2 linked regions of the Pelodiscus sinensis genome follow. The protein of the gene in region 2 binds, or shares a complex with, the protein of the main gene of each other region. Links are inferred from orthologs where the notes say so. Each region holds a gene or a part of one and is shown on either strand. Other genes may lie near its edges.

The links.
Region 1: GINS4 (region 2) and MCM5 share a complex: the UniProt entries of both Homo sapiens proteins name them as parts of the CMG helicase complex. The link is inferred for Pelodiscus sinensis from reciprocal best matches to the Homo sapiens genes GINS4 and MCM5.

What each region holds. Positions count from the first base shown.
Region 1 is NC_134711.1:94,039,571-94,055,680, reverse strand, and holds the start of MCM5 (DNA replication licensing factor MCM5), read left to right. Parts: upstream 1-8,725; 5' UTR 8,726-8,741; intron 8,742-9,192; 5' UTR 9,193-9,274; intron 9,275-9,319; exon of another isoform or gene 9,320-9,431; intron 9,432-9,680; 5' UTR 9,681-9,711; coding exon 9,712-9,878; intron 9,879-10,914; coding exon 10,915-11,041; intron 11,042-11,210; coding exon 11,211-11,339; intron 11,340-12,937; coding exon 12,938-13,110; intron 13,111-16,110. Other genes in the region: HMOX1 (heme oxygenase 1), read left to right, coding at 465-956, 1,617-1,728, 3,904-4,040. UniProt on the Homo sapiens protein: Acts as a component of the MCM2-7 complex (MCM complex) which is the replicative helicase essential for 'once per cell cycle' DNA replication initiation and elongation in eukaryotic cells.
Region 2 is NC_134738.1:16,498,931-16,515,104, reverse strand, and holds GINS4 (DNA replication complex GINS protein SLD5), read right to left. Parts: upstream 7,519-16,174; 5' UTR 7,482-7,518; coding exon 7,386-7,481; intron 6,477-7,385; coding exon 6,390-6,476; intron 5,718-6,389; coding exon 5,604-5,717; intron 5,185-5,603; coding exon 5,087-5,184; intron 4,142-5,086; coding exon 4,053-4,141; intron 3,580-4,052; coding exon 3,489-3,579; intron 3,195-3,488; coding exon 3,098-3,194; 3' UTR 2,404-3,097; downstream 1-2,403. UniProt on the Homo sapiens protein: Required for correct functioning of the GINS complex, a complex that plays an essential role in the initiation of DNA replication, and progression of DNA replication forks.

The sequences.
Region 1 (16,110 bases), on a different chromosome or scaffold from region 2:
TGGCCACCCTACTTATTGAATGAAGAGACAGGGGCTGCAATTCCAATATCCGTGGTGTCTGAGCAGAGGTCTGCCCATTGAGTGAATAGATCATAAAGTAAAAAGGTTGTCACAGTATGTCAAGGGATAGGACCTCCAGTTTCTGGAGACAATCAGAACTGAACAGTGCATTGGAGAATGTACCTTTGGGAATCATCCCTGCATGTGGGAAGAGAGGAAGAAGGGAAGGGGTCTGTGTGCTGAAGAATAGCTGAGAAGTGACCTAATATGTTTCTTCAGCCTCTAATTTCCATGATCCCAAGGACCCTGCCTTAGTAAAGAAGGGACTATGGGATGACATGGTACAATAACCAGTGACACATACACAGTGTTTATATGCAGATATGTTGTATTGACAAGAAGTGCACCTGAAGCTGGGGGGAGAGAGACCCTGTCGCTGATTTATTCCTTCCCTTTTACCACAGATGGTTATGGCTTCTCTCTACTACATCTATTCTGCTCTGGAGGAGGAGATTGAGCGTAACAAGGATCACCCAGCCTTTAGTGCCGTTTACTTCCCATCAGAACTGCACCGTAATGCTGCCCTGCAGCAAGACTTAGAGTATTTCTATGGCCCATCGTGGAGGGAAGACATCTCATGTCCTGAGGCCACTCAAAAATATGTGGATAGGCTCCACTACGTGGGCCAACATGAACCAGAACTCCTGGTGGCCCATGCCTATACTCGGTACCTGGGAGACCTGTCTGGTGGGCAGGTGTTAAAGAAGATTGCCCAGAAAGTTCTCCACCTGCCCAGTACTGGAGAAGGGCTGGAGTTCTTCACCTTTGAAGGGGTGTCCAGTGCCACAAAGTTCAAGCAACTGTACCGCTCCCGGATGAACTCCATCGAGATGGATCCAACCATGAAGAAGAGAGTCTTGGAGGAAGCCAAGCGGGCATTCTTGCTGAATATACAGGTACGTAGTCTGCATTTCCCCCCCTCCCCCCGGCCTCTCCCACTTAAGGTACAGCTGCTATCTGAGCATAGGCCAGGTAGCATTTGTACTGAATAGCTGAAGGGAAGCTGTGAGTTGAAAGGAGCCAGTATTGAACTTCTCTTATGTGACAGCTGCTTTTATGAGCCTCCCAAGAGACTCGATACTAGAATGCCCTTTTTTCCCCACAGGGCAACAGATCCTCTCCAGGATTTGATTGCAGGCTCTTTGTTGCTCTTGTTCGAACATGGGCATTTATTGGGGAGAGGGGAGGGGACAGGAATTAGAGCCCACCACTCCAACCCTAATATTTCCATGTATCTTCTCCCTCCCTTACCACTCTTTTCCATACTAATGCACACACCCAGATTTCCCTCTGATCTGAAGGCTGAACAATGGGGCTCAACTTCCTATGGAATTGCCCTGGGAAAGCATTTCACCCACTTTATACTATTAAACAAGCAAGGTGTTTACAAGATACCCTTAGGCAGTCTCCTTTCTGGAGAAGGAAAGACACAAAGGATCAGTGGTTGGATACGTCCTCTAGTTCCCAAAATGTTTTGTGCTGTAAGAAGGGGCTCATGGAGGAGAGAAGACCACATTTCCAAGTAATGAGGGAACTGTATGTTTTTTGCTGTCAAGGTGTTTGAGGAGCTGCAGAAACTGGTATCCCAGCCACATGAGAACGGTCACCCTGCTGCACAACAGAAGCCAGAGCTCCGCACAAGAGGCACCAGCAGAACACATGAGCATGGTAAGAACCTTCCTAAAGCCAGTTTTCAGAGTTTTGTCCTTCTCCCTCCCTGCCCTCTCCCTTGCTGAGTGGTGAGGAGGCTGCTCCGGCTCTCCTGGGGCTTCTCTATTTACACTCCCCTAGTGTTGGCTAGTGTGGCAGCTATGTGTGTGAGGAAACTACTACCGAGAGCCATAAAAGGAGGCCAAAACATGTCGGGGCTTGTGAGCTCTGCAGAAATAATAAAAATGTACCATTGTTATTCAGTGCTTTTCACCAGTAGATCTCAAGGTGCTTTACAAAGGAGGGCGGTATCAATATCTTCATTTTGCAGATGGGAAAATTGACAGTTAAGAAGGTTAACAATTAATGGGCCCGAGTCTCCTCTCCTCACTGGTTTTACAATGATATAACTCCATGGCTTCACTGGAGAGACACCTGTGTAAGCAACAGGAGAATTAGGCCCAACTGAGTGCATCCAGGACTAAAGGCTGATGGTTTGGCCCCAGTGCAGCACAGTAATGATCAGTGCCACAGTCCTGACTGAGGAAGCTCTTGCATTATAAGCCTGTTGACATGAAGACCTAGCCAAAGATCCGTCTTGTGGATTGAAACGTTTCGTGCTTGTGGTCAGTGAATATTTCTGGAAAGCAAGAGAAAATTCTTTCTTCTCCTGAGTGTTGGGCAAATGCTTTTATGTGGTGTCTGCTGCATTTCCTTGCTATGAAATATAGCACAGTCAGAACTACTCATTCCTGGGCTTGAGATCTTGTGGCTGCAGTATCCCGGGGCAGCTATTTTTCAAATGCTCAGCATTCTAGTCTAACTTTAGAACGACATGGCTCCATCTACTGACAAAATGCTGCCATTGTAGGAATGACACGGGAAGGTTCAAAGGTATTGCAAACCATGCCGTTATTGCAGGGTCAGAGTAATTATTCCATAGCAAAGGTTGCTTCCAGATTTCTACTGGAGAAAGTGACTTATCTGAGAATGTGTAGTTAAGATAAAGTTCTCCTTGGAACCTAAGATTTTGAAACAAGCAAGCAGCACTTTCATAGGTATTCAGTTGGGTTAGCTTCATTTCAGCATGAGAAATGTTATTCTCAACTTCACCCTTGTAGGTCTCTACACGTTCAAGCATGGGATAATTTTCACAGAAATGGCATGAGAAATTTTAATGCATCTTCCCACCCTAAAGTTTTTTTTTTAATGTTTCAAATGGTTACCTGCACTCTGCAACTGCTAGAAGTTGCTGAAGGAGCTTATTGGGGACTATTGAATGAGTGTGTGAGGTTCAGAGAGGCCAGGGATACAATGAGATATCCAGGAAGATACAATGAGATATCCAGGAAGAGAGGGAGACGCCCATTATTCTTGTGCACGCTCTTTTGGCAGCTGGCAGCGCTGCTAAGATCTGATAAAGGAGCCCTGCTTCAGCAGACTTTATATACTGCTCTCACACAGATCTAAGAAGGAATAGAGTGGACTGTGGCAAGGTATAGTGGGAGCGAGGACTGATTTCTGAGGCAGAACTCATATTGGGACATGAAGTAGGGCTGGAGCCAGGGAATGAAGGCTAGCTGGGGGAAACAAGGCTGGAGACTATCTAAAAGGTTTGGCTTTGTTCTGGAAGCAAGGCCAGGGAGGAGATGAAATAATATTTTAATGTTTCCCAGGAAAATCTTTTCACATCTCTTCAAGAAAGCTTTAACCAACCCTTAGGCTTTCTCCACACAGTGCATTAAGCTGTTCCTATGAAACAGCAGGAGCCTGGCGTTGTACCAAATTTGAGACTTTACAAAAAGCAAAAGGAACCAAAATGCATTAAGTTACAGCAATGGCAAGCTACCCTCCACATCTAGCATGGAGAAAAAAGATTATAAAGTACACCTGCAGGGCAGTGAGGGTTATTATACCACACACCTGGGAGGGACGTGAGATTTTAAACCACAAACCCAGCCTTCTGAACTAGCTGAAGGCCCTTGACCACTGACCTTGTGTCTCACTAGCCACCCACTTGGGGTGTACATTTGGTGTAACCATCCACCATTATCCTGTGCTATTGCTCACTTTGGCTTCAGTTCATGTGCCAGGGGCAGTGCACCTTTGGAAATGGATATAAAACTAACCTAGAAGCAAACCCTTCCTAGCCTGATTCCTGCTCTTACATATTTGATTTCTGTTGATTTTTAGGGCCAGTTCCTGTGAAAGAAGGTGAAAAAACATCACTGACGCACACTGGTATGCTGCCTAGCACTCCACTGGTACGGTGGATTCTTGCCTTCAGCTTCCTCGTGACAACGGTTGCTGTGGGCTTGTTTGCCATGTGAAGAGAAAGGACTTTAGGCTTTGCCCTCCTGCCTCTCCTCCTCAACCTAACACACCTTCCCCGTGTGATATGAGCAATACCACCCAACCAGCCCTCTTCCTGGACATTCTGATCTTGGCTGCGCCACTAACACTTTGCTAGTGGATTAAGAGGACTCCGAAGGCTCATGCAAATTCTCTCCAACCTGTGCTGAAAGCATTTCTGAACCCACAGACTGAACTTTGCCAAAAAGCTGAGGCAAAAAAAAAAAAAATCCTGAAAGGCAAGGCTGGCCCCTGGCCTTGCTTCAGACAGTTCCTGCAAAGAGCCCCAGATATAAAATATAGGTTTGGTAGCTTCCCTGCTGCCTGGGGGAAAAAGCCTTACTGGTGCTTTGTTCTGTCAGTGTTTTGTGCAGCTGCCTGGTACTGCAAAGATTTCTTCTGTGGAGTTCTCAGGCTCCCCTCGGATTACAGACTTTTTTATATGACACTATTAGCCCCTTATAGCCTATTTTTCCAATCATGACTCAGGTCAATTTTGTTTTTAGATAGCAGAATGCAGTTGTTGAACAGTGTTGTCCTTGTGTCCTGTCTGTACAATTTATACATTAACAATAAACTTCAATGTAAGGTGACTCTGCTGTGTTTCCTGGGATTAGTGCCTGTCTGATGTGGGGGAGGAAGCCTTTTGCTGATTCTCTTATGCTTTGGGAGGGGCTTGCTGCATGCTCATAAAATTGACATGAGGCACAGAATGGAGGGTAAGCAGATCTGGGCTCTGTTCCCAGCTCTGATGCCAATTCTTTGTGTGACTGCAGGTTAAGAGACTTTCTATGGTAACTACACTTCCCCATCTGCATAACACACTCTGAGATCTAAGGATGAAAAGCTCTAAGTAAGAGCAGGGTACTGGTAATTATAAAATGTCTCTGACATTAAAGGAAACAGCTGGTGAGTCAAAACCTCTCCACATTTCCTGGGCCTGAGCCTCAGCTGGTGTGAAATGATGCCACTTGGTTGACTTCAGTGTAGCTGTGCTGACCTACACCACTCATGAGGGCCTGGCCCATCACAAATCCATTCATACTACCTGGTTGAGAATTTCACTGTGGTTTCAGGAAAAAGAGGTATATTTAAAAACCAAGAAGTTAGTCCTGGTGATAACAACAGACTGACTTTTAATTATACAGAGTAGACCAAGCCTGGGCAAAATACAGCTCAGTCTGGATCTGGCCCACCAAGCCACCAGATCTGGCCCTCTGAGGCAGTGGGGAGCCCCAGGCAAGCTCCCCTGCTTTCCCTGCACTGCGCAGAAATGTGGCTGCCAGGCTTCCTTTCTGTTTCAAAACCTGAAGGGAAGGAGGAAGCTTCAGGAGCCACCCCACTCCCAGCACAATCCCAATAGCTAGTTTGGGCTAATAGCTGGTGAGAAACCGGCCAATGGCAGCTGCTTGTTTGAATAACAAGCAGCCAAGAACCATGCCCCCTCCACTCGTCTCAGTTATTCACTGAAGCACATGGCCAGGCAGGATGGCTGGCTGCGAAACGTTTTAGCTCTGTAAGCCTTAGCTAGGCAGGCTGGGTTGGCTGCTGGATGGTAAGTCTCCTGGCCACAGCCTGCCTCTGGCACTCCAGCACCTCCCTGCCCCCTCCCCCCCACATACCCAAACCCTCTGTCCTCCTCTTGCAGCCATACCCACTCCCAGATCTAGCACTCCAATCACCTGCTCTAGATCACAACCCCTTTTACCCATGTCATATCCCAAACTCCTGTATCTCAGTTCCCTACCCTAGATCACAACTGCCTCCTTCACCCAAACTCCTTCCTAGACTCCATTTTCCCTCCTGCACCCCAGTTCCTTACCCCAAGCTCCCCTCTGCACCCATCTTCCATCCCAGACCCCACATCTGCTCCACTAATATCATCAAAGAGTACGGCCCTCAACCGCTTTCCAAAATCTTGGAGTGGCCTCCTGTCAAAAATTATTGCCCAACCCTAGAGCAGACCAAAAAAAGAGTAACAATTATGCAAAGAGTTCTCTATCCACCTCCCCTTTCACTGGATGGAATTTGGATGCCTGGCTAGCAGCTATTGTAGTTGCAGGTTGTAGTTGTCTAATATAATCAAGTTGACTAAAGTTCTGAGAGATATTAGAGAAAATAAACTCTTTGGCTACGTCTAGACTGGCATGATTTTCCGGAAATGCTTTTAACGGAAAAGTTTTCCGTTAAAAGCATTTTCGGAAAAGAGCGTCTAGATTGGCGCGGAGTTCGCGTTATAACGATGCGCTTTAGCGGAAAAGCGTTCATGCCAATCTAGACGCGCTTTTCCGCAAAAAAGCCCCGATCGCCTTTTTCGCGATCGGGGCTTTTTTGCAGAAAACAAATCTCAGCTGTCTACATTGGTGCTTTTGTGCAAAAGTTTTGCGCAAAAGGACTTTTGCCAGAACGGGAGCAGCATAGTATTTCCGTAAGAACGCGGACAATCTTACATGAGATTGTCAGTACTTTTGCGGAAATTCAAGCGGCCAGTGTAGACAGCTGGCAAGTTTTTCCGGAAAAGTGGCTGATTTTCCGGAAAACTGGCCAGTCTAGACACAGCCTTTATGTACCTTGGATGTTGATCTTCAGGGCATATTATGAAGTCAATCTCTACAGCCTGAGTTCTGAGGGAAGAGAGTCACAATAATGAGGACTGATGTTTGGGTATTGGTTGGATTTGATTTATTGCAGCTGGTTATTTTTTTGTCTTGGTGGCATGGAGTGGAGGTGGTCTTTTTGTATGACTATTTCTGGGTTTTCTTATTTTATTTTTTGGCAAAGAGGTAGGGCTCTGGATGGGCACTTTTAAAATATGTTCTAATTTGAAATACATAGAAGTTCATAGAAATACTTAATTATTTATGCAGTGTGTATGTGTGGGAGGATATTATGAGAGCTCTTCTTTCTTTTAAAAAGTGAACTAAGTTCTGGTAAAAGGCCCTATTCCAATAGTTAGATCTGGTAAAAGCTACATTTGATAAAAGGCCTCGGTTTGACAGCCTCACTGTAAATCAACAGAAGAGATTACAGCAAAGACTGAGGATCTACCTTATATTTACCTTATAGTTACAAACAAAACCTACTGCACTGGAAAGAGTACTAGGACAGTCAATACAGACAATGACTAAATAGTACAGCAAGTGCCTAACAACAAAGCAAATACAATTCGGCTACGTCTACACTGGCATGATTTTCCAAAAATACTTTTAACGGAAAAGTTTGCCGTTAAAAGCATTTTCGGAAAAGCACGTCTAGATTGGCAGGATGCTTTTCCGCAAAAGCACTTTTTGCGGAAAAGCGTCCGTGACCAATCTAGACGCGGTTTTCTGCAAAAAAAGCCCCGATCACCATTTTCGCGATCGGGGCTTTTTTGCAGAAAACAGTACTGTGTTGTCTACACTGGCCCATTTGCACAAAAGTCTTTCGGAAAAAGACTTTTGCCCGAATGGGAGCAGCATAGTATTTCCGGAAAAGCACTGATGATCTTACATGAGATCGTCAGTGCTTTTCTGGAAATTCAAGCGGCCAGTGTAGACACCTGGCAAGTTTTTCCACAAAAGCAGATGATTTTGCAGAAAAACTTGCCAGTCTAGACACAGCCTTCATGTGTATTAAAAAAAATCCACAGGAAAGCTAACTGAAGCTGGTCTTCTCCCCTCAATCTATTATTCAAGTTAGAAGAATTCATGCACACTGTACTGTTTAGCAAATGGTCTGGTAGCACTTTATAGACTAACAAAACATGTAGATGGTATCATGAGCTTGCGTCATGTTTTCTTAGTGTATAAAGTGCTACCAGACCATTTGCTTGCTGGTTTTTTTTCCCCCGTAACAGACTAACTCAACAGACTAACTCAGACACCCCCTGAAGTTCCTGTACTATTTAGGGTTGCCAATTTTCCCTGAATGTATTCCTGGACGTTTCATCACATATGATCCTTAATTAAAGATTAATCTTTAATTCCTGGAGACTCCTTAGTCTGGCAATCCTAGTACTATTCTCTACACCAGAGGTGAAAGTAAGCTGGCGCACCCTGGTGTGCAGCTCTGGCAAGAGCTGGCAAAAGCCAGCAGGGAGCTATTTCAAGAGCAGGCAGGAACCCAGGTTGCAATAGGACAGTACCTGTAATACACTTTTAATTACTTTCACCGCTGCTTTACCTGAGTGTTTGTAAACTTGTAATATAACCACATGCTTTTCCACACCAGTCTTCCTGGAAGTACAGGTTGGACCTCCCTGGTCTGGCACCCTCGAGACCTCACCCATCTGGGACAAGGGAGTTTTGCTGGACACCAGGGAGGACGGTGCAAGGCTCCCTACTGGGCTTCTCTCCCCAGTCTCCCACCCTACAAGCTGCAGCAGCCTTACCACCCCGCGGAGCTCCCGGCAGCCCGGCTAGCTGCGGGCTCTGCCGCCCCATGAGCTCCAGCCCTCCCCCAACCTGCCCGCTGAGGACGCTGCTGCTCCATGCTCGGGATCCACTGCCCTGCGGGCCCTGCCACGCGGCTCCACGCCCAGCTGCTGGCAGCCTCTGCCGCCGGGGCGCGCTACTCGCTCCCGCAGCACGGCTGCTGCTGGAGCAGAGTCCCAGCCGCCCGGGTGCAAGCGGGACCTCCGCTCCCTGCAGCTCCGCAAGGGAGTCAGCTGCCCGGGGCCCAGCAGAGCGCGCCAGGGGGAGGTGACGCTGCTCCGGGGCCGGGACTCGCTTTTCCTTTTGGAACTGCCCGCAGGACAGAAGCACGTCGCGGGCCCGGGCCGGGCTACAGGCGCGCGGGGGGGGCCGGGATGCACCGGAGGAGGGTTCTCGAGGGGGCTGCTGCGGGGACCAGGCACGTGGGGCGGCTCGTTGGTGCGTCCAGCCAGGGGCGGCGGCAGCTCTAGACCCAGCAGCGCTGCCAGCCTGGGCCGCTCGGGCGCTGGCGGAGCCGCCCCAGAGCGCTGGGAACCGGGGTGGGGGGGCGCGGCCGCCATTTTATCCCCCTCCCATTTGTCACGTCCCTCGGGTCGGGTTTTCGCGCCAAACAGCGCTTGGCCACACTGGGAGGCGGGGAGCGGGGCGGGGCTTCGGCGCCTCCTCCAATCCTCTTCCGTCTCCATGGCGACTCGCCGCCCGCTTCCCGTTCCGACAGGCCAGGAGGGAAGGTCGCGGAGCCAATCCCCGGCGTCAGGTTTCAGGCTGGCCAATAGGGAGGCGCGCTTCCGATGACTTCAGTACGTTTGTAGTCTCTTTCTTCCCCCTCCCCCCCCCCCCCCCCCCCCCGCGGCCAAGTTTTGCCGCGAAAACCGGCTGGTCCGCGAGTGCCTGGCGCGGGGCCGATTCGAGGGGAGCGGGAGCGGCGGGTCGCCTCGGGGCTTGTGGCCAAGGCGGGTCGGATGGGGGGGTCGTAGCCAGGGGGTCGGGTCGGGGCTGGGGGGGCCGGATGGGGGGGTCGCCCCGCCCGGGCTGTTGGGTGGGACCCCCTGAGGGTCGGGGGGCTCGGTTGTCGGTTGCCGTTGGGGCTGAAGGGGGTCGGATGGGGGGTCCCCCCGGGCTGAGGAGCGGCTGGGGCTGTTGCAGGGCGCGTGGGAGGGGAGCGCTCTCTGGGGAGCTGGACTGATCGTTTCCCTCTTTCTGCAGGTTGCCCAGGGCGGCGGAGCCAATTTTCACCATGTCCGGCTTTGACGATCCCGGCATTTACTACAGCGACAGCTTTGGGGGTGACCCGGCGGCAGATGAGGGCCAGGTCCGGAAATCCCAGCTGCAGAGGCGGTTCAAGGAGTTCCTGAGGCAGTACCGGGTGGGCACAGACCGGTCTGGCTTCACCTTCAAATACAGGTGCTGCTGAGGCAGAGAAGGAGCCCTTCTCACCAACTCTGTGTTTAGCCATCTACTTTCTCCTTTCCTTTTGAAGGAACAGCTGTTTGCTTTCCTTGTAGCTGTGCACAGGCTCTCACAGAGCACTTTCAACTACGGATGCCAAACAACTTTTCACAGGATGGTCAGTGTCATCATCACTGTTTGGTCTGTTGGGGAAACTGAGTCCTTGAGTGGCGCAGTGATTTCCCCAGGATCACAGATCAGGGAATGAAAACTGGTTGTCTGACTCCCTGTCCTGTGCCCCATTCACAGTACTAAGCTGTCTTCCATGGGCCCACACTGCAAAGTGTGGCTCTAGCCCTGAATTTCAAGTTCCGAGTTTGATGTTTCAGAATGTTTAGATCCAGGGTTTGGTTTGAGTTTCTCTTTAAGGTAAGGATGTAACAGTTTTTCATCCAATGTCTTCTGAAATCTGTGAAGATCCTTCTGTGGACTAAATATTTTTCTACTTCCTGTGTATATTTTTGAACTGTAAGGTTTGTGATTCTTTTCTTTTATAAAACATTGAATAAGTACTTAATTATCTGCAGAATGCATGGAAATAAAAATGAGTGCAGATCACCCAGAGACTGAGAAATAGCCAACCTTTCATCTTTTATTTCCCTGAATTCTGATTTTTAAAGTGAATGTTAATAACTGCTATTATATCATGCATTTTTAAAATTCAAACTTTGGGTGTGATAGACCTGATTACTTATGCTTAGAAGTATGTAAACTGTCTTTGTAACTCTGATAGCACAATGACACTAAGCATATTCGGACTAGAACTGGGCAGTTTTAGAAAGCGGATTTGGATGCCCTGTGAAAAATCTGTCCAGCAGCCTCCTTACAAAACTTATCTACTCTGCTTCCAACTTAATCAAGTCACTTCAAACAATTTATAGGATCCCCTTTATGCTGATTCACTGCCCTGGTCCTGCTGATTTACTTGCATTTGTTAAGAATTGCACTGTGCTTTCTGCTCTTCAAGTCTGAACTCCTTGTTGCCTCACAGGGATGAGCTCAAACGGCATTACAACCTTGGCCAGTACTGGCTTGAGGTGGAGATGGAGGACCTGGCCAGCTTTGATGAGGACCTGGCAGATTACCTGTATAAGCAGCCTGCAGAGCACCTGCAGTTGGTAAGAATGGGGAATACCATGGGAAGAAGGACATGGAGAACTACTGTAAGAGTAGCCTTAGAACTGGCAAGTTGCCAGCTAATCATGGGCAGTCAGCTGACACCAGTAGCCCCGATAATTCTTTGTGAGAGTGATAACCTGAGCTGTGATGTTCCCTCTCTCTCCCCAGCTAGAGGAAGCGGCAAAGGAAGTGGCAGATGAGGTCACCCGTCCTCGCCCAGCAGGAGAGGAGACACTTCAAGATGTCCAAGTCATGTTGAGATCAGATGCCAATCCGGCCAATATCCGTAGTCTGAAGGTGAGCTGAATCCACCCATGCTATGGAGCAGTGGGGGCAGTAGTTGTCCTCTGGTGAATTTGATTGTGGTGAGAGCTGTTAGAACAGTGGCGGCCAACTGCAGCCTGAGGGCCACACACGGTCCATCAGGGTTCTTTGTGTGGCCCACAAAACATTTTTACTGTTGCCTACAGTTTTGCTGGTTTCTCTTTGCTTAGGGTTTTTTTCCTACCAGAATTACTGAAATGACATGCATTTAAAGCAAGGGCATGTGAAGTGAGGTGAGTGCTGATATCACACAACATTGACTGTGAGAGTTGTGTGCTCTCTCTGCATCCATTCAAAGCATTGCTGTGGTTCAGTTGGCACATTCTGCAAATTCTAGGTACGCAAGCACCTTAGCAAAACTACCCTATCCTAGAAGACCATCTTGGTAACAAAAATCTTGCAGTCTACTGATATGAAGAGTCTCTCATTCAGCCCATGTACTAGCCTAGGTTGCCCGATGACTTACTCAAGGCTCAGATCAAGGAGTGAGTTGGATAAATGGTTTGGGGGTTGATCCATCTCTGCTCTGCTTACTGTGATGAAACTGCACCAGACAGCACGTATTCAACTCACTACATTTGATGGGATTTGCTAACTTTAGGGCTGTGCTACACACTTGAACATTGTGCCATTTGAACATTGGTTTGAGTCACATAGCTAAAGCCTCCTAGTGTAGCTACGTTAATAAAGGTGCTTGGACTGCTATAGCTTAGAATCATAGAACCTTAGAGCTGGAAGAGACCTCAGAAGGTCATCAAGTCCAGCCCCCTGCTCTAGGCATGACAATGTTTATTCCCATAAGTTTAGCACCTTTGTGCAGGTATATTCATATCTCTGTAATGACTTCAGTAAAATATTCTGCCTATCTGAAATAGCTAAATTGATTCCAGAACTGTGTACATCAGATCTTAATGGCTCTGTTGACAATTTTGGGGATGTCAGTGGATGGGTATTCTCATCTGTCCATTAGATGGTGAGAATTATTTTTGTGTCTCTGAGGGTTTTACTGAGGAACACTGTATTCTTCATCACAAACTTCTCTGATCAGTGCAAAATGCATCAAGAGACGTATCTATAGAATAATGAAGCATCTTGTTTAAAAAAAAAGCCACAGTCCCTTCCCTTTGGTGTGAGGCTATTCAGTGCCTTGTCTGCATGAGTCTGCTTCCCTGAGATGCACGCCATGGCTTGGAGCCTTAATGTGTTTCGGCAGAAGGGCTTGGAGAGGTAACAGACCTTTGAGCCAAGATACAGCAGAGCACCATTATTAAGGTGACACTCATAGCACGTTCTAAACTCAGCTGGCAGGCTATTGTATGGATCCAAACTACTGAGCAAAAATATGCTGCAGGAAGGTGTGTTTAGAGGGATGTACATGTTAATTCCAAACACTTCTTCTTGGTTCCCTCTGTGGGCAACACAGGGAAAGCTGCCCACAAAGCATCATAACCATGATCCTGGCAACTCTGTGCATAAAGGCTGCTGTGCTTTCCTTTCCCGCTGCCATGATGAGGTTTCCCTTCTCCATGTGTAAGATGTTTCCTTACCTTTCCCAACCTCTTCTCTCTCAGTCTGAACAGATGTCCCATCTGGTGAAGATCCCCGGGATCGTAATTGCTGCAACTGCTGTGAGAGCCAAAGCCACCAAGATTGCCATCCAGTGCCGCAGCTGCCGTAACACCATCAACAACATCGCCGTGCGCCCCGGCCTGGAGGGTTATGCACTGCCCAGGAAGTGTAATACGTAAGCAATGAGAATCCTTTCAGGAGTCGTGGCTAGGGTGGGGAGACTAAGTTAGGTCTCACTGGGTGTCCTGTGCCGGGATCTAGAGGACAGTCATCCAGCCCTCTGCAGGATGGAGAGTCCTCTGTGCTCATGAATTAGTCTGTGATGACTTTTAATTTATCTGTGAATTGAAGGCCTTGCCCAGGTCCACATTGGTGGTGGGCAAGGGTGGTTAAGGCCAAATGTTAATGACCAGAATAGTGTAACTGAAGCACAGTCTCCTCCCTGCACCCTGGAACTTAAAGGGCACAGTCACACTCATGCATCTCAAAATGCCCTCCCTACCATCACAGAAATCCTTAAGCACTGCTGAGTCACTGAGTGCCACTGGGGTGCTCTGCGTGGCCCGAGCCTTAAAAATAGATGATCCTTCCTTCTGGGAGCATCCAGTTGAAGAAGACTGCTTTTTACTAATACTTTCAATTGTTCAGTCCCCAGACAACACTTACTCTCTGTGCGTGTAAAAATCAAATACATTCCTGGTCATCTGATCCATTTAATTTATTACCCTTCTCTGTCCCCCAATGAGTGCATTGCTCCTCCCAGTGAGCCATGTCACGATACACTTTCTCACACTGAGGCTGTGTCTTCGCTGCTGTTTGTTTGACAGAAGTTCTGTCAGTCCAGAGGGTGAATAAACCACCCCACTGAGTGAAACAAGTTACACTGATATAAATGCGAGTGTGGCGAGTGTTATGTCACAGGAGAGCTGCTCCTGCCATCATGGCTTCTGCCGCTCGCAGAGGTGGTTTTACTTTGCCTATGGGAGAGCTCTCTCCTGTCAGGCATAGAGCGTCTTTATCAGATGCAATGCAGCACTATACATGTAGGCAGGCTCTGAGTAATACCTTCCTCCACAGTCGCCCCAGTAAAGTCAGTAGGGCTAGTGTATTGGTGCATTCAGCATAAATAAGGGGGTCGTGAAAATGGCTCTAAGCACATAGGGTGGGCTCCCTAAAGCTGCCATTCCGAGGGATTTGGATGCCCAGTTTCCATTAGAAATGCACAGGAGCAGAAATGTGCCAGTCTCTTACGTGTCTTTGGAAATCTGAGCTTTGGTTGAAAATGACTTCCGGTCTGTAGTCTCCCAAGGGACACTGGCTAATAAATCTGCATCAGGATGCTTTCCCTGCTATTCAGCCTACACTTTTCCTTTTTTAGTTTTCCACTAACCCTAACTAAACCTCTGTATTCATATGTAAATAGGTTTTCTCTTCCTTTGTATTATAGCCTCTTAGACTTTTGTCCCCACTTAGGCTTAGTTTGGTACATAACTATTTAAATGTCTAAAATCTTTCCCCATCGGTCAATCCCTTTTCCCTTAACCTATTTTATTTCTTTACTCTGAGCTTTCCAGTTTGTGTCCCTTTGTCTAACTCTTTGGAATGGGGAATGACTCTTAATGTGCATCTAAACAGCACCCAGCTGCTTTAATTTCCATTGGGCCCTGTAGCATTACTCTTCTACAAATAGCCTCCTCCAGTTTCTCACAGTCTAGGACAGGGGTTGGCAACCTGTGGCTCACTTAAGAGCCAAATATGGCTCGCAGCTTGAGCTCAGCCCCCGTCCTCCTCTCACAACAGAGAGTCCACAATGACGATCGAGCATTGCGCCCCCCACGCAAGATCGGAGCCAGTGCCAGCTTCTTGCATGCCAGATCCAGCTTGCAGGGAAGCATGTGCACGCTTCCTTATACACCCTACCTTCCCCTGTGCTCTGGGGAGGCAGGACACAGGAGCTGTGTGGCCTTCCCTGCCTGATGAGCACCAGAGAGTGCACCCAGCTGTGCCGATATGGGGGTGATGCACATTGAGCTTGCAGGTGCTGGGAGTGGGGGGAGGTTAAAATGGCAGCAGAGGTTCTAGATATTGGAGATGAGGAGTGGCTGGATTTCTTGAAGGAGTGGCACGTACGCTTCTTCCAGCACTGCCTGCAGACCCTGCCCAAGAGATACTCGTCCCTGAAGACCAGCAGGTACCAGCCAAGCTGCTCCTGCCTCCTCCGTGGCTAGACACCCACCCACACCCTGCTCCTGCCTCCCCTCCCCTCTGGCCAGACACTTACACCCAGCTTGCTCCTGCACCCTACCTCCCACCCAGATTCTGCACCCTCATCCATATCCCACTCAGTGACAGCTCTGTCCCACACACTGGACTCCTCATTTTTGGCCCCACACCAGAGCCTAGGGGGGGCCACAAAATCCACTAACCCTAGAACGCCGGAAGAGTTAATCTGGCATGAGACCTTGAACCTCAGTCCTCCCTGCACATCCTACCCCCACCCCACCATGGGGCTGGAGTACTAGGGAAATGAGGTGTTTCAGTTGGGGGTCACATTCAGTGAGGGTTGGGGTTTTTTGGAAGGGTTATTTTTTTTGCTTCTCACTTGTGTGGCCCCTGCTGATTTTTCTGAGAGACAGTGGCCCCGACCCAAAAAAAGTTTCCCATCCCTGCCATAAAAAAAAGACAACGGTGAAACCTTTTGTGTTGAACATAATATTTTACTTCAATTAAAAATGAAGCCTGTTCAGTAAGCCCGCAAAGGGGGCCCAGCCCCAGTCTGGCCACAAGGTCATAACACTCCTGCACCCCTCTTGCAAACACCAGTCCTCAGCCCATCATATGCCTGAACCCTCTGCCCTGAACCCCGTACCCCCACATCCCCATTCCCCTACCATAACTCTCCTGCACCACCCACACATTCCAAACTTGTGCGCTGAGCCCATCATACACCTAAGCCCCCTTCCCTAAGCCCCTCATACATCTCAACCCAAACTCCCAAATCCCCAGCCTCTGCCATAAGATTTACAGAAGATAGCCCGAATGTGTTCATGAAGCTGGATTTGACCATTATGAACTTCAAATAAATGTGCAAAAGATGCAGCAGCAGAAGTCCCATTATAAAAAGTCCTTGAGTACAATGTTTCATTTATGCTATTATTAATCATTATGTCAGTTA
Region 2 (16,174 bases):
AATCCACACTGGCGGTTCGTTATTGCCCCACACCGCTCAGGTCCTTAACTCAGTGGAGTTTTGGAAAATAAAATTCAAGTGTCCCTGCTCCATGTCAAGCACTGGTCTGCGTGTGTCGGACGAGGGGCTCAGTTGCAGGCTGGCTGAGGGAGAAAGGACAGCCCCAGCAGCTGGGGGCCAGGCGAGAAGTGGGCAGCCAGGGGACAGAACGCTTGTTTCCCGGCTAGGGTAGGTTCAGGTTTGTCTGCCCCTGCACTCCCCAGCCAGAGTGAGGAATGCAGCACCTGTGCACTTTCCCCACTCCCTGATGAAGGGAGCAGCCAGCAATGTTCCTGTACAAATCGGGGGGAGGGAGCTTCAGCCCCCCCACTCCCTACAGGCCACCTAGCGGGTGGGAGGTGTTCCCCTGAAAGCCCCTTGCACCTGCCTGCTGATTCCGTCTGCTTCTCAAAAACCAATCCTATTCCAGGCACAGCCCGTTTTCCTGGCACAGCCAAACCCTTGCTTTTTAAATAAGAGGAAGCTGCATCCCAATGTGGTGGTCCTGGCTCTTAGCGCTCAGTTCTTGGACAGACCCCCTCAGACATACAGATTGTTCTCCAGGCGCTGTGTGAGCTCCTGGTGGAGACAGGAAGCAGCAGGAAAAGCGGAGGGCTGGAGAAAGAATCAGGGAAGGGAATTTCGGTCTCATTCTCTGGTAGGAAACTATTGACAAGTTACTTTGGGAAAACCACTCCCTGCAGCCAGAGCACCAGCCACTGCAGGCAGAAAAAGCCCCGTTAAGAGGAGGCCACAGGGACTCCCTCAAGCTACTTAGAAAGTGTCCCCAAAGCCCTCCTGACCAGAGCCCACCAGCCAATCACCCAGGCCTTCTCTGTGCACACAATGGGTGGCAGGGAGATCATCTGCTTGCACGGGAACTCCCTTATGAACCCGCGGGAGTGGCTGGGCACCTCCCTCTCCTCTCCGCTCCGCTCCCTGAAACAAGTCAGTACAGACAGAAGCTAAGAGAAGGTTCCGGACCCTGCCCCTATTGGACACTACCAGCTGCAAGTGGCCCCAAAGCAAAGTCATTCAGGATGCCAAGAGGCAAAACTCCAGCCACTAAGTCCTCTGTTAATGGTATTTCTTCGAACACTGGTGCAGCACATGGTCTCTCCATGGAGGGAGATGGCTCGGGGAGCTGGGCCATAAATCTCACCTAGACCAGGCTCTTAGAGACCCTGAAACCTGCAGAAGTGATGGAGGTTCTGGCCCAAACCCCACTGCTCAGCTACTACCACAGGGCCATGCTTCGTCTGTCACAGCACGTGAAATGTAGACAAGCCTGTAGCCACAGGCATCACTACAGTATAGGGGTGTAACTGTGGCCACTTCCCAGGCTGCTGTCTGCCTTGCAGGGAGCAATCTCCAGTACAGCACCCCATTCACCGAACGAGGTGCTAAGTCAGTTTCCTTTCATCCTCAGCAGCCCTTCCCCATTTGTGCAGAGGTAACCTGGCACTTTGCATGTTTGGAACATTCAGCGATTGCTCCCCACCCCAACAGGGCCTCTCCCACCTCTCCACTACCTGCAGTGGGAATGAATACACAGTGGGTGCACCTAGACTGGCAAGATTTTGCACAAAAGCATTTGCTTTTGCACAAAAACTTGCCAGCTGTCTACACTGGCCACTCGAATTTGTGCAAGAACACTGACTTTGTAATGTACAAAAATCAGTGCTACTTCCACAAATACTTACACGCTCCTGCTCGGGAAAAAGCTCTCTTGCGCAAGAATACTCACGCAAGAGGGCCAGTGTAGACAGGGAAGAACTGTTTTGCGCAAAAAAGCCCCGATGGCTAAAATGGCGATCGGGGCTTTCTTGCACAAAATCGCGTCTAGACTGGCCGCAGATGCTTTTGCACAAAAGCGAATCTTTTGCGCAAAGGCACTTGCCAATCTAGACACGCTTTTGCGGAAATACTTTTAACAGAAAAACTTTTCCGTTAAAAGTATTTCTGCAAAATCATGCCAGTCTAGACGCAGCCAGTGCTTTTTGGGTGAATGGATCACTCCAATATGGGAGGGGGCTGAGAAGTGCTTAAAGTGGAGGTCAGCAGGTCACAAGGGGTCTCACACCTGGCCCAAAAACCTTTAGTCAAGCCAGGATGCATTTTAAACACCACCTTAGCAGAGCTGCTGCTCCCACAGCACGACAGGCACCCCGCTTCCATCAGAACATGGTAAGCACTGGTGCCCCGGGCTGTGCGCTATACGCAAGAGGTACCAGAGCGCTCCCCGGGGAAAGGCTGAGTGTCTCATGCACAGACCTCGCTGCCAGCTCTCAGGAAGAGCGGGGATTGTTTGACGGGCCCCAGGAATACAGCTTTGCTGTCAGGGATGCAGACACCACCTCCTCATCGAGCTAGAGCCAGAGATACGTGGCTGGTTTATTTGAGCCCGGTCGGGCGGATTCTTCTACTTGCCAGTAAGAGCTCCTCCAGGTTCCAAACACGCTCAGCCCCACCCAGGTCCTTTGGAGCTGGCACCTGCTGCAAACCCACACAAGCCCCCATCCCTTGTCTAATCCCCTCCCCACACAACATGAAAGGGTCTCTCCTAACTGAGCTGCACAGGAGGCCTGGTCAGGGTCGTGGGCGGCGGCAGTGGCCCTAGAAAGCAGACTTGGAGAGTTTGGCAGCTGTCTTTGTAAGGCAACTGCTCACACTAGCCCTCGCGCCAACTCATCTCGCCTGACTGTGTGTGGGCTGCCACCTGGCCGCAATATCCAGAGTGTATGCATGGGGGCGGCGCCACCTGCTGGTTCCACACCAGAGCAGCAGCTTTGTAGAGGCGGAAGAGCGGCCTTTCCTCCAGCAGCAGCATCCGCATGCCCCAGACAGGGGCCCTCGCTGATGGCACCTCTCTCTGGCTCTGTGCCTTTCTATCCCCAGGCTACATGCACACAGGAACATGGAGCTGCTGGGCCCAGGCGGGGGGGCAGGATGGGCATTCGTAACTGTCCACAGCCGTTGTGCGTCCACACGCCGACCGGCAGGGCAGTGCTCTCAGGTGGCCCTGGCCTTCCCTGCCCCCTTTAAGTCTTGTGACGTTTTAAATGAGCTGAACTGCTCCAGAGGCCACCAGCGGGGCGATGGTTTTGTATCGGATCAGATGCTGCGAGCCCTCCTCCAGGTCGATCACATATTCCCTGAAGGGGGGGGGGGGGGAGAGAGAGAGAGAGAGAGAGACAGACAGGGTGAGGGGGAAGGGCAGCAGCAAGCCAAGCACAGCACTGAATGGAAACACACCAGGGAGGAGAGAGGTGGTGCAGTCTCCTGCAATGGCCACATGACTGGATCTGGCCAGTCGGAGGGGTGCTGCTCTCCCCACAGCTGACGACGCCCCTTCGCTCTTCCCAGCAGGAAGCTGCGCGGTGTACAGGGAGGGTGGCATTTCTAAGGCATGTGCATCTCAGGGCACAGCAAAGCAACAGGCCACCTACCTCTGCTCATCTGTCTCTGGCTCCACCAAGATGTTTTCTTGCCTCTCCTGCACCCTCAGGAATACGAAGGCATCCAGGTTGGGTTTGGGAACTGCAAGGAAAGTGACGCACTCAGAGCCCTGACAGCTGGAACAAAAGACTGAGCACCATGCACCACAAGCCACTCCTGTGAACAGTCTGCTCCTCTTCGAGCCCTTCATACTTGGGGACACAGAGCAATGTGGGTCAGCAGCACCAGCAGCGTGGACATCACAGGCAACCAGCTGACCCCCAACACACCAGCCAACACGCACTTGAGACGGAAGGAGAGCCAGAACACAGACCAGTGAGAGCAGCCTCGGGAGCCCCCTTGTCACCCATAGGGCATTCTAGGAAAGAACCATGCGAACATAAGCCCACCACCTTCTAAAGGACCAGCAGCATGGAGAGGGCTAAGCTCAGACACCAGCGTCTTTCAAGCACTCGCTGCAAGCTGTCGAGGACTTCAAGGCTCATGCAGGGTGAGCCCCCAGGGAGCTGGTGCTAGAATCCTCATGCCTGGTGCTGCAGCCAGGTTTCTCTTACCCAGTCTCAGGAGATCAACCTTCTGCAGGTTGGGAGGCATGTGTTTCAGGGCCATGTTTTTCAGGTAGGTTTCTGTGTTCGCCATGTACCTGAAACAGACCTTACTGTCAGTGAGATCTTGGCAAAACCTGCTGGGTCACAGCTGACTCCAGCTGCCGTCATAAGACCAAAAGGAAGTCTTTCTTCACATAATGCAGAGACAGCCTGTGGAACTCCTTGCCAGAGGATGCTGTCAAGACCAAGACTGTAACAGGGTTCAAAAAAGAATTAGATACAATCATGGAGGATAGGTCCATCAATGGCTATTAGCCAGGATGGGCAGAGATGGTGTCCCTGGCATGTTTGTCAGGGTTGGGAATGGGCGACAGGAGGGATCACTGAATGATTCCCTGCTTGGTTCACTCCCTCTGGGGCACCTGGCATTGGCCACTGGCAGAAGACAGGACACTTTGGTCTGACCCAGCAGTTCTTAGCCTGCTGCTCCAGGGCAAATCCTTCGGTGCCCCAGGGTACAGCCTATCTCCAGGTGAAGATGACAAAAGGCAGTGAGGTCTCTTCCAACCGGCAGGAGCTCAGGCAGCAGAGGGAGCTTTTCTAGCACAGCTTAGCAGGTGGCTGAAGCGAGACTGCCCGGGCCAATGGCTTGGCCACAAACTGCCAACAGAGGGTGGCCCGGAGCCAGGAGAGGAAGCTCTGCAGCAGGAAGTGGCTCCTTTCACCACTCTGCCTTGCACAGGGAAAGAGGCAGCTGGTTAGACACCAAGATTGATGGAGGCTGAGTGGGGCTCTTTTTTCAACTCCTTCCCAGGGTGTCAGGAACACTCAGGGCCAAACTGCCAGCTTCACTGCAGGCCCAACAGAGAACAAGGAAGGTGTTAGCTGGTCAGTAGAGGACAGGGAGGATCTACATGCAGCCTGTGCAGCAGAAAGGAAGATCCAGAATGTATACAATCCCAGGTCTCCAGGCCTAGCCTGCAAAGTAGACCAAGACTTTGCTCACCCCACTGTCCAGCCCTCCTTCCACATCCACTCACTCTTTAGCAAAGGCAAACTCCTCTGGAGAGAGAATGGAAGGCTCTCCTTCTGCTCGGGACTTCTCCTTCTCCAGGATATGGGGAAAAAACTTCTCGATCTGCCAGGAGAAGAAAATCCCCAAAGAAGCGTCAGCTGGGATTGAAACAGAGTCCTGTTATAGGCAGCTCCTGACCTGTACAGGGCTGTCTGTGCTGGAGAGGCAGGATAACTATGGCATTTCCAGGACCCTGTCCTGACCTTACCTAGGTCGAGGAACATGCTCACCGCATGTGCACTGTGACACTCCCCCCCCCCCCCCCCCCGTCTCTGAGATACCCTCTCCCCAGAACAAGGTGCTGTGCTTGGCACCAATGAGGAATGAATTCCTCAGGTGAACCTTATGGTCACTCTAGTCTAACCAAACATGTCAAGGGTCTGTGACTCAGAGTCCTGCGCCAAAGCAATCTGCTTTCAGAATACGATGCCTTCAGCCACTCCCGGGAGTCATGTCCCACACATAGCACAGCAAGGTGTTACCTTTGCAAGCCTGCAGCGCAAGTAACTGCTGAGGACATAGCGGATTCTCTCAATCTCCATGCGGTGGATGCTGACCTTCAGATCTCCGTGCTTGGCTCGTTTCAGATTTGACTCCTGCCAAAGGGGCACATTGGGGGAAGTCAGACTGTACACACGCTCAACAGTTAATGGCAGAGAGGCCAATGTCTGCAGAGCTGTGGGGGAAGAGCCAGATTGCAGCTGCCTCTTGCAGATAGAGCCCGGGCACCATGCACGCAGGTTACCATCTCTCTCTGCCACCTGGGGAAGGGAATCCAAAAACCTGACGCCAGATTTTGCAGCATATGTGGGTTTTGGAAAGTAATGGCCAATTTTGTCATCCAGGCACCTGCAAGTCTGTCTGAAGCAGGAGGTTTACGCCCCTCTGGAGCGCACAGTTGAACAAAGAGCCAGGAGATGGTAAGCGGTGCAGCCCCCGCTGGCTGGCATCATGCTACAGGGCTTACAGAATGGCAGATGAGCGGACAGCTACTAGCCTCTGTGACTGACAGCAAAGTGCCAGGAGCATGGGGAGCTCGCAACACATCCACGCCAAACCAACAGCACTTGGGCAGAGCGCAGGGATGCTCGCAACTACCCCCGTCGTGTGGGGGTACTGGGGAGAGGGATGGCTGGAGGAGCACGGGCGGGTGCTTCGGCACAGAGCCCCACATGCTGCCATGCCCGCAGTGGGGAGTTCGGTAAAGCCGGCCCGACTCCGCCCAGCCATTCCCAACCACGGCCCCCTCTGTGCCCCTGGACACGCACCATGTGGTCCAGCTGCTCCATGACACATTCCACGATTTCAGACTTGCTCTCCAGTAGCTCCGGGGCAAACTTCTCATTCAGCCAGGCCTGAGAGCACAGCAGGGCGGTGAGCCACAAGCCGACCTGACAGCCAGCCCCCTGCCCTGACCCACCACCCGCCTGCCCCCCCGTCACCCCCCAGCCGGGAGAGGACCCGGGAATCTGCCCCCCCCTCCCCCCAGCCGGGAGAGAACCCGGGAATCTGCCCCCCCTCCCCCCAGCCGGGGGAGGAGCCGGGAATCTGCCCCCCCCTCCCCCCAGCCGGGGGAGGAGCTGGGAATCTGCCCCCCCAGCTGGGAGAGGAGCCGGGAATCTGCCCCCCCTCCCCCCAGCCGGGAGAGAACCCGGGAATCTGCCCCCCCAGCTGGGAGAGGAGCTGGGAATCTGCCCCCCCAGCTGGGAGAGGAGCCGGGAATCTGCCCCCCCTCCCCCCAGCCGGGAGAGAACCCGGGAATCTGCCCCCCCAGCCGGGAGAGAACCCGGGAATCTGCCCCCCCAGCCGGGAGAGAACCCGGGAATCTGCCCCCCCAGCCGGGAGAGAACCCGGGAATCTGCCCCCCCAGCCGGGAGAGAACCCGGGAATCTGTCCCCCCAGCCGGGAGAGAACCCGGGAATCTGCCCCCCCAGCCGGGAGAGAACCCGGGAATCTGCCCCCCCAGCCGGGAGAGAACCCGGGAATCTGCCCCCCCAGCCGGGAGAGAACCCGGGAATCTGCCCCCCCAGCCGGGAGAGAACCCGGGAATCTGTCCCCCCAGCCGGGAGAGAACCCGGGAATCTGCCCCCCCAGCCGGGAGAGGAGCCGGGAATCTGCCCCCCCCTCCTCCCCCCAGCCGGGAGAGAACCCGGGAATCTGCCCCCCCAGCCGGGAGAAGAGCCGGGAATCTGCCCCCCCCCTCCCCCCAGCCGGGAGAGGACCCAGCCGGCTGGCCCCGCCCCCAGCCGGCTGGCCCCGCCCACCTGCTCGAGGCCGCCGAGGAGCTGCGCGGGGGTCAGCACCAGCTCCTCGCTGCTCCCGTCCGAGTCCAGCTCGCGCAGCGCCGGCCCCGCCGCCATCCCGCCCGCGCGCCGCTCCCGCCGAGGCGCTGACGTCAGCACGCTCCGCGTGGCGGCCGGGCGCCTCCTCATGCATATTCATGACCCCACCTCCTGCAGCGGCTCAAAGGGGTGGAGTCGCCCGGCCAGACTCCTCCCCTCCCCCGCCACGCCCCGCCCCCCCGCGGCCCCCGGGGACCCGCAAGGCCGGGCAAGAGCGCCCGGGGCCGGCCGGAGGGATGGAGGCGCGTGTGGACGGACAGACGGACACGGACAGACACGGGCGGGCGGGCGGGCGGGCGGACAGACGGACACAGGGGCGGGCGGACAGATGGATGGACGGGCGGACAGACGGACACAGACAGACACGTGCGGGCGGGCGGACAGGCGGACACAGGGGCGGGCGGACAGACGGACACAGGGGTGGGCGGACAGATGGATGGACGGGCGGACAGACGGACACAGACAGACACGTGCGGGCGGGCGGACAGACGGACACAGACAGACACGTGCGGGCGGGCGGACAGACGGACACAGACAGACACGTGCGGGCGGGCGGACAGGCGGACACAGACAGACACGTGCGGGCGGGCGGACAGACGGACACAGACAGACACGGGCGGGCGGGCGGACAGACGGACACAGACAGACACGGGCGGACAGGCGGACACAGACAGACACGGGCGGGCGGGCGGAGAGCCAGATCCCGGCACACACGGACAGCGCGGCACGGCAGGACAGAGGGGCGGGCGGCTGCAGGCTTGGGTGGACAGACACACGGCCAGCGGGGCCAAGGACAGACAGCGGCTCTAGCGATCACACGGGGTAAGTTTTCTGACTCCTCTGTACAGATGCCCCAACACTCCACTTTGATCCCGCCAGCTGCAGGTTTGTTGGCTACAAGCTCCGGGTTCTCCGCAGGGGCCCCAGGAGCAGCCCGAGGACACCCAAGTTGAACGCTCAGACATGCTGCATTCACGCTCAAGCCTCTCCAGGGTGGTTCTGGGCAGGCAGGTGCTCTCAGAGAATAAGAGGCCTGGGCCACTTTGAGTTTAGAGGCCCCAGCCCCTCCCCTGTGTCTAACCTCTCATTCACAGGGTCATCATAAAACCAAAAGAATGTATGAAAATAAACAACTGAAACGTTAATTTATTAACAATTCAATCCTTATACCAGTAGCATGTATATTAAAAATGGCGAGCAGTCCTGTGGCACCTTAGAGACTAACTGAAGTGTTGGAGCATAAGCATTCGTGAGCAAAGACCCACTTCGTCAGATGCATGTAGTGGAAATTTCCAGAGGCAGGTATAAATATGCAGGCCAGAATCAGGCTGGAGATGAGGAGGTGGATCCAATCAGGGAGGATGAGGCCCACTTCTAGCAGCTGATCTGAAGGTGTGAATTCCAAGAGAGGAGAAGCTGCTTTTGTAGTTAGCAAGCCATTAACAGTCTTTGTTTAATCCAGAGCTGATTGTGTCAAACTTGAAGATGAACTGTAGCTCAGCAGTTTCTCTTTGAAGTCTGGTCCTGAAGTTTTTTTGCTGCAGGATGGCTACCTTTAGATCTGCAATTGTGTGTCCAGGAAGATTGAAGTGATCCCCTACAGGTTTTTGTATGTTGCCATTCCTAATATCTGATTTGTGTCCATTGATTCTTTTACGTAGGGACTGTCCAGTCTGGCCGATGTATATAGCAGTGGGGCATTGTTGGCACATGATGGCATATATTACGTTGGTAGATGTGCAGGAGAACGTACCAGTGACAGTATGGCTGATCTGGTTAGGTCCTGTGATGGTGTTGCTGGTGTATATATGTGGGCAGAGTTCGCACCGAGGTTTGTTGCAAGGATTGGTTCCTGAGTTCGAGTTATTATGGTGCGGTGTGTAGTTGCTGGTGAGAATATGCTTCAGGTTGGCGGCTTGTCTGTGGGCAAGGACCGGCCTACCCCCCAAGGCCTGTGAAAGCGAGGGATCATTGTCCAGGATGGGTTGTAGATCACTAAGGATGCGTTGGAGAGGTTTTAGCTGGGGACTGTAGGTGATGGCCAGTGGTGTTCTGTTGGTTTCTTTCTTGGGCTTGTCCCGTAGCAGGAGGCTTCTGGGTACACTTCTGGCTCTGTCAATCTGTCTCCTCACTTCCTCGTGTGGGTATCGCAGTTTACAGAATGCTTGTTGAAGATCTTGTAGGTGTAGGTCACTGTCTGAGGGTTTGGAGCATATGCGGTTGTACCTCAGTGCTTGGCTGTAAACAATGGATCGTGTGGTGTGTCCAGGATGGAAGTTGGAGGCATGCAGGTAAGTGTAGCGGTCGGTAGGTTTTCGGTATAGGGTGGTATTGATGTGACCGTCACTTATTTGTACCGTGGTGTCCAGGAAATGGACCTCCCGTGTAGATTGATCCATGCTGAGATTGATGGTGGGGTGGAAGCTGTTGACATCATGGTGAAATTCTTCCAGAGTCTCCTTCCCCTGGGTCCAGATGATGAAGATGTCATCGATGTAGCATAGGTAGAGAAGGGGTGTAAGTGGACGGGAGCTGAGGAAGCGTTGTTCCAGGTCAGCCATAAAAATGTTGGCATATTGTGGGGCCATGCGGGTGCCCATAGCAGTGCCACTGGTCTGGAGGTATATGTTGTCACCAAATCTGAAATAGTTGTGTGTCAGGATAAATTCACAGAGTTCAGCCACCAGTTGTGCTGTGGCATCATCAGGGATACTGTTCCTGACAGCTTGTACTCCATCTGCATGTGGGATGTTTGTGTAGAGAGCCGCTACATCCATGGTGGCTAGGATGGTGTTTTCTGGAAGATCACCAATGCATTGTAGTTTCCTCAGGAAATCAGTAGTGTCACAGAGGTAACTGGGAGTGCTGGTGGCGTAGGGTCTGAGCAGAGAGTCCACATAGCCAGACAGTCCTTCAGTGACAGTGCCAATGCCCGAGATGATGGGGCGTCTGGGATTTCCAGGTTTGTGGATCTTGGGTAATAGATACAACAACCCTGGTTGGGGCTCTAAGGGTGTGTCGATTTGTTCCTGTGTTTGTGTAGGGAGGGTCCTGAGCAGATGGTGCAGTTTCTTAGTGTATTCCTTAGTGGGATCTGAGGAAAGAGGCCTGTAGAATTTGGTATTGGAGAGTTGTCTGACAGCCTCCTTTAGGTAGTCAGACCTGTTCATGATGACAACAGCACCTCCTTTGTCAGCCTCTTTGATTCTAATGTCAGAGTTGTTCCGGAGGCTGTGGATGGCATTGCGTTCTGCACGACTGAGGTTACCAGACAAGCGATGCTGTTTTTCCACAATTTCTGTCTGTGCACGTCGGTGGAAGCATTTTATGTAGAGGTCCAGACTGTCATTTCGGCCCTCAGGAGTCCATGTGGAGTTCTTCTTCTTGTGCTGTTGGTGGGAAGGTATCTGTGTGTCAGTGCACTGTTCAGTGTTGTGTTGGAAGTATTCCTTGAGACGGAGACGGTGAAAGTAGGCTTCCAGATCACCGCCTGGTATATTAAAAATGGCTACCCCTCTGGTATATTAAAAATGTAACTAATTGTGAGTTTCCACTGCAAACAAAACTCTTCATTTTAGGAATGTTTTTTTGGTTTTATTGTGAGCAAACTTGTTTATAATTGAAGAAAAATCTAATGTATGTGCAACATCACTATTAATGTTAAGCACTGCGAGCCCAATTCAAATGCTCATCTCATTGTAGAATGATGGTAGTTCTTTACTTGGTGTAACATGTTGAATGTGCATTCACCTGAAGCCACTGATGCAGGGAGACTGATAAAAATATGTAATGCAATTGTGATATTAGGCTGAGATTGAACATTTCTTGAAGCATCTATTTTGGCTTGCAGTTGGTGGAATGCATATGATTTAAAGTTAGTGGAATGTATGTTTCAGGAAGACTCTGTCATCACAGAGATCTCTTGAAATTCCATTGTTGTACCTTCGTTGAAACTGTTCAACTGCTGAATATAGATCTTCATCACTTCATTCTTGGAACTACCAAAGGAATCCCAAAAGGGTACAAATTTGTTGCAGTGACTCAAATCGACATGTAAGACCAGATTTGATGGGACTCAATAACAAAAAAAATTTGGCTTAATAGTGCCTTTCTGCATCAGACTGAGATGTTAGACTGCAATTCGTGGAAAACTCAGATGAAAAGTTAATAGCCTGTGCTACTGATTTGGACTCAGAAAGGATTGCATCACTTTGATCATGAATCTTTTGAGTATCTTTAAGAAATCATTCAGTGTTATCCCTCTCAACATCTAATGTAGCATTGTGTGCTTCAATTTCAAGATTAGTTTCATGGATCATTTTTAGCAGCTTCATCCACATGGACAACATTAAAATGCATTCAGATTTGGATGTATACTTCTGAATTGACTTACAGCACAGACTTGCCCTGAGTTTAAGAGATTCAAGCTCACTTAAAGCTTCTCAGAGTCCAAATGCTGTGCAACTGACTTAATGCCATCAATTCGTGTTAATCATCTCGTTGTCAAAATGACGTGAAGCAAAACAGGCAGATGCTGCTTCAGAATTTCCCACTTTCAAGGACTGCTACTAAAGAAGTTGTACAATTGCTGGATTGTTCCAAAATATGTGATTGCTTCCTTGCATGATTCAGTGCAATCAGTGCTGACAAGATTTAGGGTATGTCTTCCCCAAGATGCTGCTCTGTCCTGCTCTTTCTCTCTGGGCTTTGAGGCCAGGCTCTCCACACAGCCTGTGCCTGGTTCTTCAAAGTTTGGTAGCCATTTGTGGCTAGTCTTGTCTCTGGGCCTGAGCCAGGTTTAAAGTTCAGCTTGCACTTGGAGCTGTCCGAGGTGCTGTTGTCCTCCCAACCTAAGCCTGGCTAGGTCAAGCTCCAGTGAGGAACTGCCAGGCCCTGGCCCAGCAGCTTCTTTATATCAGCCTGCTGGGCCCTGATTGGCTGCAGCAGAAACAGCTAGTCTATCCTGCTTGGAGGACCTCTCTTATGCTCTTCTCCATGGGGCAAGGTGGGGCAAGGCCTCCAGCAGAGAGCATCAGGCCCAGTGCACCCCGTCACAAGTCCCTATAGCCTTATTTCAAAGTCTTGAAATTTTAACATGTTCCCACTATTAAATTCCTCTAATAACTGGTGCATTATGAATATGAACATGGGGCAATTGCCAGACTAAGTATAAAGTTTATTAAACAACTAGAATTAAAAGTTTATTATACCAAAAAAAGCCTTTAAAGATTAATCTAAAACTGGACAAAGAGGTAGCTTACAGCTGACCTGATGTGGTTATTGTATACAAAGACACACAAGAAAAAACAGGAATACAAAAAAAATCTCCTACAGAGATAAACATCTAATTTAAAGGTTAAACTCACTCTCAGACCAAGTAAAAATCACTTCATAGGAACAATTAATTACAACTTTCAAAACCTCTAAACTATGTAAAGCCTATTAACAGCATTTCATAATGTAGACCCACTAATCTCAGAGGCTACTCCCATCTCCAGTCATGCAGATGAAAACTCAGATGTGACTGAAAAATTGGTGAAGACCCAAGATCCCACAATGATTTAAATAATTTTTTGCAGTTTATTTTTATATATATAGCGCTTCTTTTGTTGTCTGTTATAACTTCAAGGTGTATAATAAATGGAAATAACTTGATAAAAAATGTCAACATTTCAGTTGTCTCCTGAGGCCCAGGCCAAATGGCTCTCTTGCCGCCACTCCCCCCCCCCCGCCCCCGCCCCCGCCCCATAGGGCCTGTGGGTAGGTCATCATAGCAAACATTCTGTTTTTTGACCTTACTGTCTTCCATACAGGGAGGGGCTTTGCTATCTTCTAGAAACCTTCACACAAAACCAAGAAATGGTCATGCAGCACCTGAGAGAGTAACAAAAATGTTGATGGTATCATGAGCTTTCATGGTCACACCCCACTTCTTCAGATTCAGACTTTTAAGTTACATACTAACATGGCTAAACGCTATTCAGAGAGAAACCTATTTATGATTTCTGGATTGTAAAATATCCAACCTATCATTTATTCAGACATACAGAACAATTTTTACATTTGCTGAACTCCCTTGCTGTTCCTACTTTTAGGGAACAAACGTCACAAACTCTTGGAACTGCATCCAAAATTTGTAAATATCATCCAGTTGTAAGCAGTCTTATATAAAATACATTGATGTGCCCAGCCTGAGCTACAGTCAGCTCAGACATAGAAACATGTTGATTGAAACCTACATGGGCTCAACATGAGGTCATAAGAATGGCCATACTGGGTCAGACCAAAGGGCCAACTAGCCCAGTGTCTGGTCTTCTGATAGTGGCCAATGCCAGTTGTCCCAGAGGCAATGAACAGAACAGGAAATTATCAAGTGATTCCTTCCTTGTTACCCATTCCCAGCTTCTAACAGTCTAAGGACACTCTCTCTGCATCCTGGCTAATAGCCATTAACGGACCTATCCTCCACAGCATTATCTAGTTTTTTTGAACCCCATTAAAGTCCTGATCTTCACAACATCCCCGGCAAGGAATTTCACAGGTTGACTCTGCATTTCATGAAGAAATACTTTGTTTTAAACCTGATACCTATGAATTTCATCTGATGACCCCTAGTTCTTATGGGAACAAGTAAATAACTTTTCCTTATTTACTCTCTCAACATCAGTCATGATTTTATAGACCTCTATCAACTCCCCCCAGTATCTTTTCTAAGCTGAAAAGTCCCAGGCTTTTTAATCTCCCCTCATGTGGCAGCTGTTTTAAACCCCTAATAGTATGTGCTGCCCTTTTCTGAACTTTTTCCAATGCCAAGATATCTTTGAGATGAGGCGACCACATCTGTAAAGGTCTGATCACTAGTATTGCTGATAACATTTTATTTGTACAGAAACAAAAATCTGATGCTTTAACAGAAAGTAGCAAGTCCACCCTCATAATGCATAACATTCATTAGATTAATAAGGTAGCTGTGTAAGGGTATGCATCTTTTAGAATCTTGATGAGCAGCCACCTGTTTTACTGAGGGAGTTATTACTTGATTCATGTCAGTACAACAAAGTACAACGCAGACACAGTTTATTTAAGAAAAATTTACTAATCCATTAATATTTCTTCAAAATTATTGCAACAGGTCTGAAAAAGCAAACACACTGTTACAGCTTAGAAAAACAAGTATTTGTACAGTTAAAATATTAAACAAGACTCCAGGAAAAATAATCAGTGTATGAGGAAATTAGATCTGGAAGCTTTGACCCAGTATTAGCACCTACAGTACCACTGAAAGCAGAATACTCTGTTCTGGACAGTTGTCTTGTTTTGTAAATCCCTTAATTCCTTCCACAGGAAAGGATGATAGCTCTTAAAACAGAAGGACTCTGCTAATTTATGGCAAGGCTAGATAGAGAGTTCCCTCTAATAAGGGAGAAGGAAACAACAGAAAATTACACCAACTTGATTTGTAGGAAGTTTTACTCAGAAGATGCCCAAGTTATTTTAGCAGATGTTGCCAAGGAATGTTAATGCACAGGAAATACGACATACTGCAAAGGTTTACTCTTCAGCAGTTTGCCAGTGACTATCTTATATACTGCCTAGTACTTTGTCAAATCAAGTGTTCCTATAAATTATTTTAATAAAACAAGAAAGTTTATTACACTTCACATATTAAACATTAAGGGATAGTCGGGATGGTTACACGTATTGGTTCAGCATTCATTTTATTGTGCTTACACAGCTTAATGAAACAAGCGATAGAGCATTTCCTCTTAGGAATTTAGGACAATGCAATAACAATAGATTCTCACAGCAGCAGCAAAGCACCCAGCACTAATGTTAGCTTAGGAATAACCAGAATATGAAAACAGAAAGCATTTGCATAATTCCCAGAGCATCACCTCTGAAAACTTAAAATGCGCTATGCCTCAAGTCACTTCCTGCCAGGCAGAGGCACTCTGTACAACGGACATATCTACCCGCTTCCCTCCCCAAAAGGCTTTATGTGGAGTGAAGAATTTGTTTTTGAAAATGCCTGTGCCCCTAAAGTCAGACTTGTTGCTTTCTAAAGTGTCTGATGTGCATGAAAGCCCAAGAGGCTGGGGAGGAACAGTACTGCTCTCACATTGCTGATTTGCCAGCTAATTTGAAGGGCACTGCCTTTTCCTTGGGAGTTAAGATAATCCCATCACCTGAAGCTTGCCATAAAGACACAAAATGGATGCTGACCGGCCAGAGGGTCACCCCATGTGGAGTAGAATTCTAGGAAATTAGTCCTTTGGTGGATGGCACCATGGATCTGGCAACAGAGAGGAATGATGCTCTAGACAGGAGGTAGGTGAACCTTCTGGTACAGCAAGTCCACCACTAAGCTGGGTGCTAGAAAACAAGACAGAACAAGTTAAACTTCTGCTATGGCATCTACAAGCAATCAGCCACCCAATGATGCAAGGCAGCCAGGAGAGTTTAATTTAAGGAACAAGATTAAAGAGATTTGGAACCATCACATGGTGAAACAGCTACCTCTGTGGTCACAAGATTTCCCTTCCATTATCACAGCATTCTTCAGCAGCCCTGCAAATTATCAGCTACACCCAATGAGGCTTTACCCATTGGTTCTGGGCTCCATTTAATGTCCAGATGTCCACACACTCTCAAAAAGGTAAACAAAGTTTCCAGGTAAGGCTTCCTTCTGCAGGTCACTGTTCCTTCCTTAA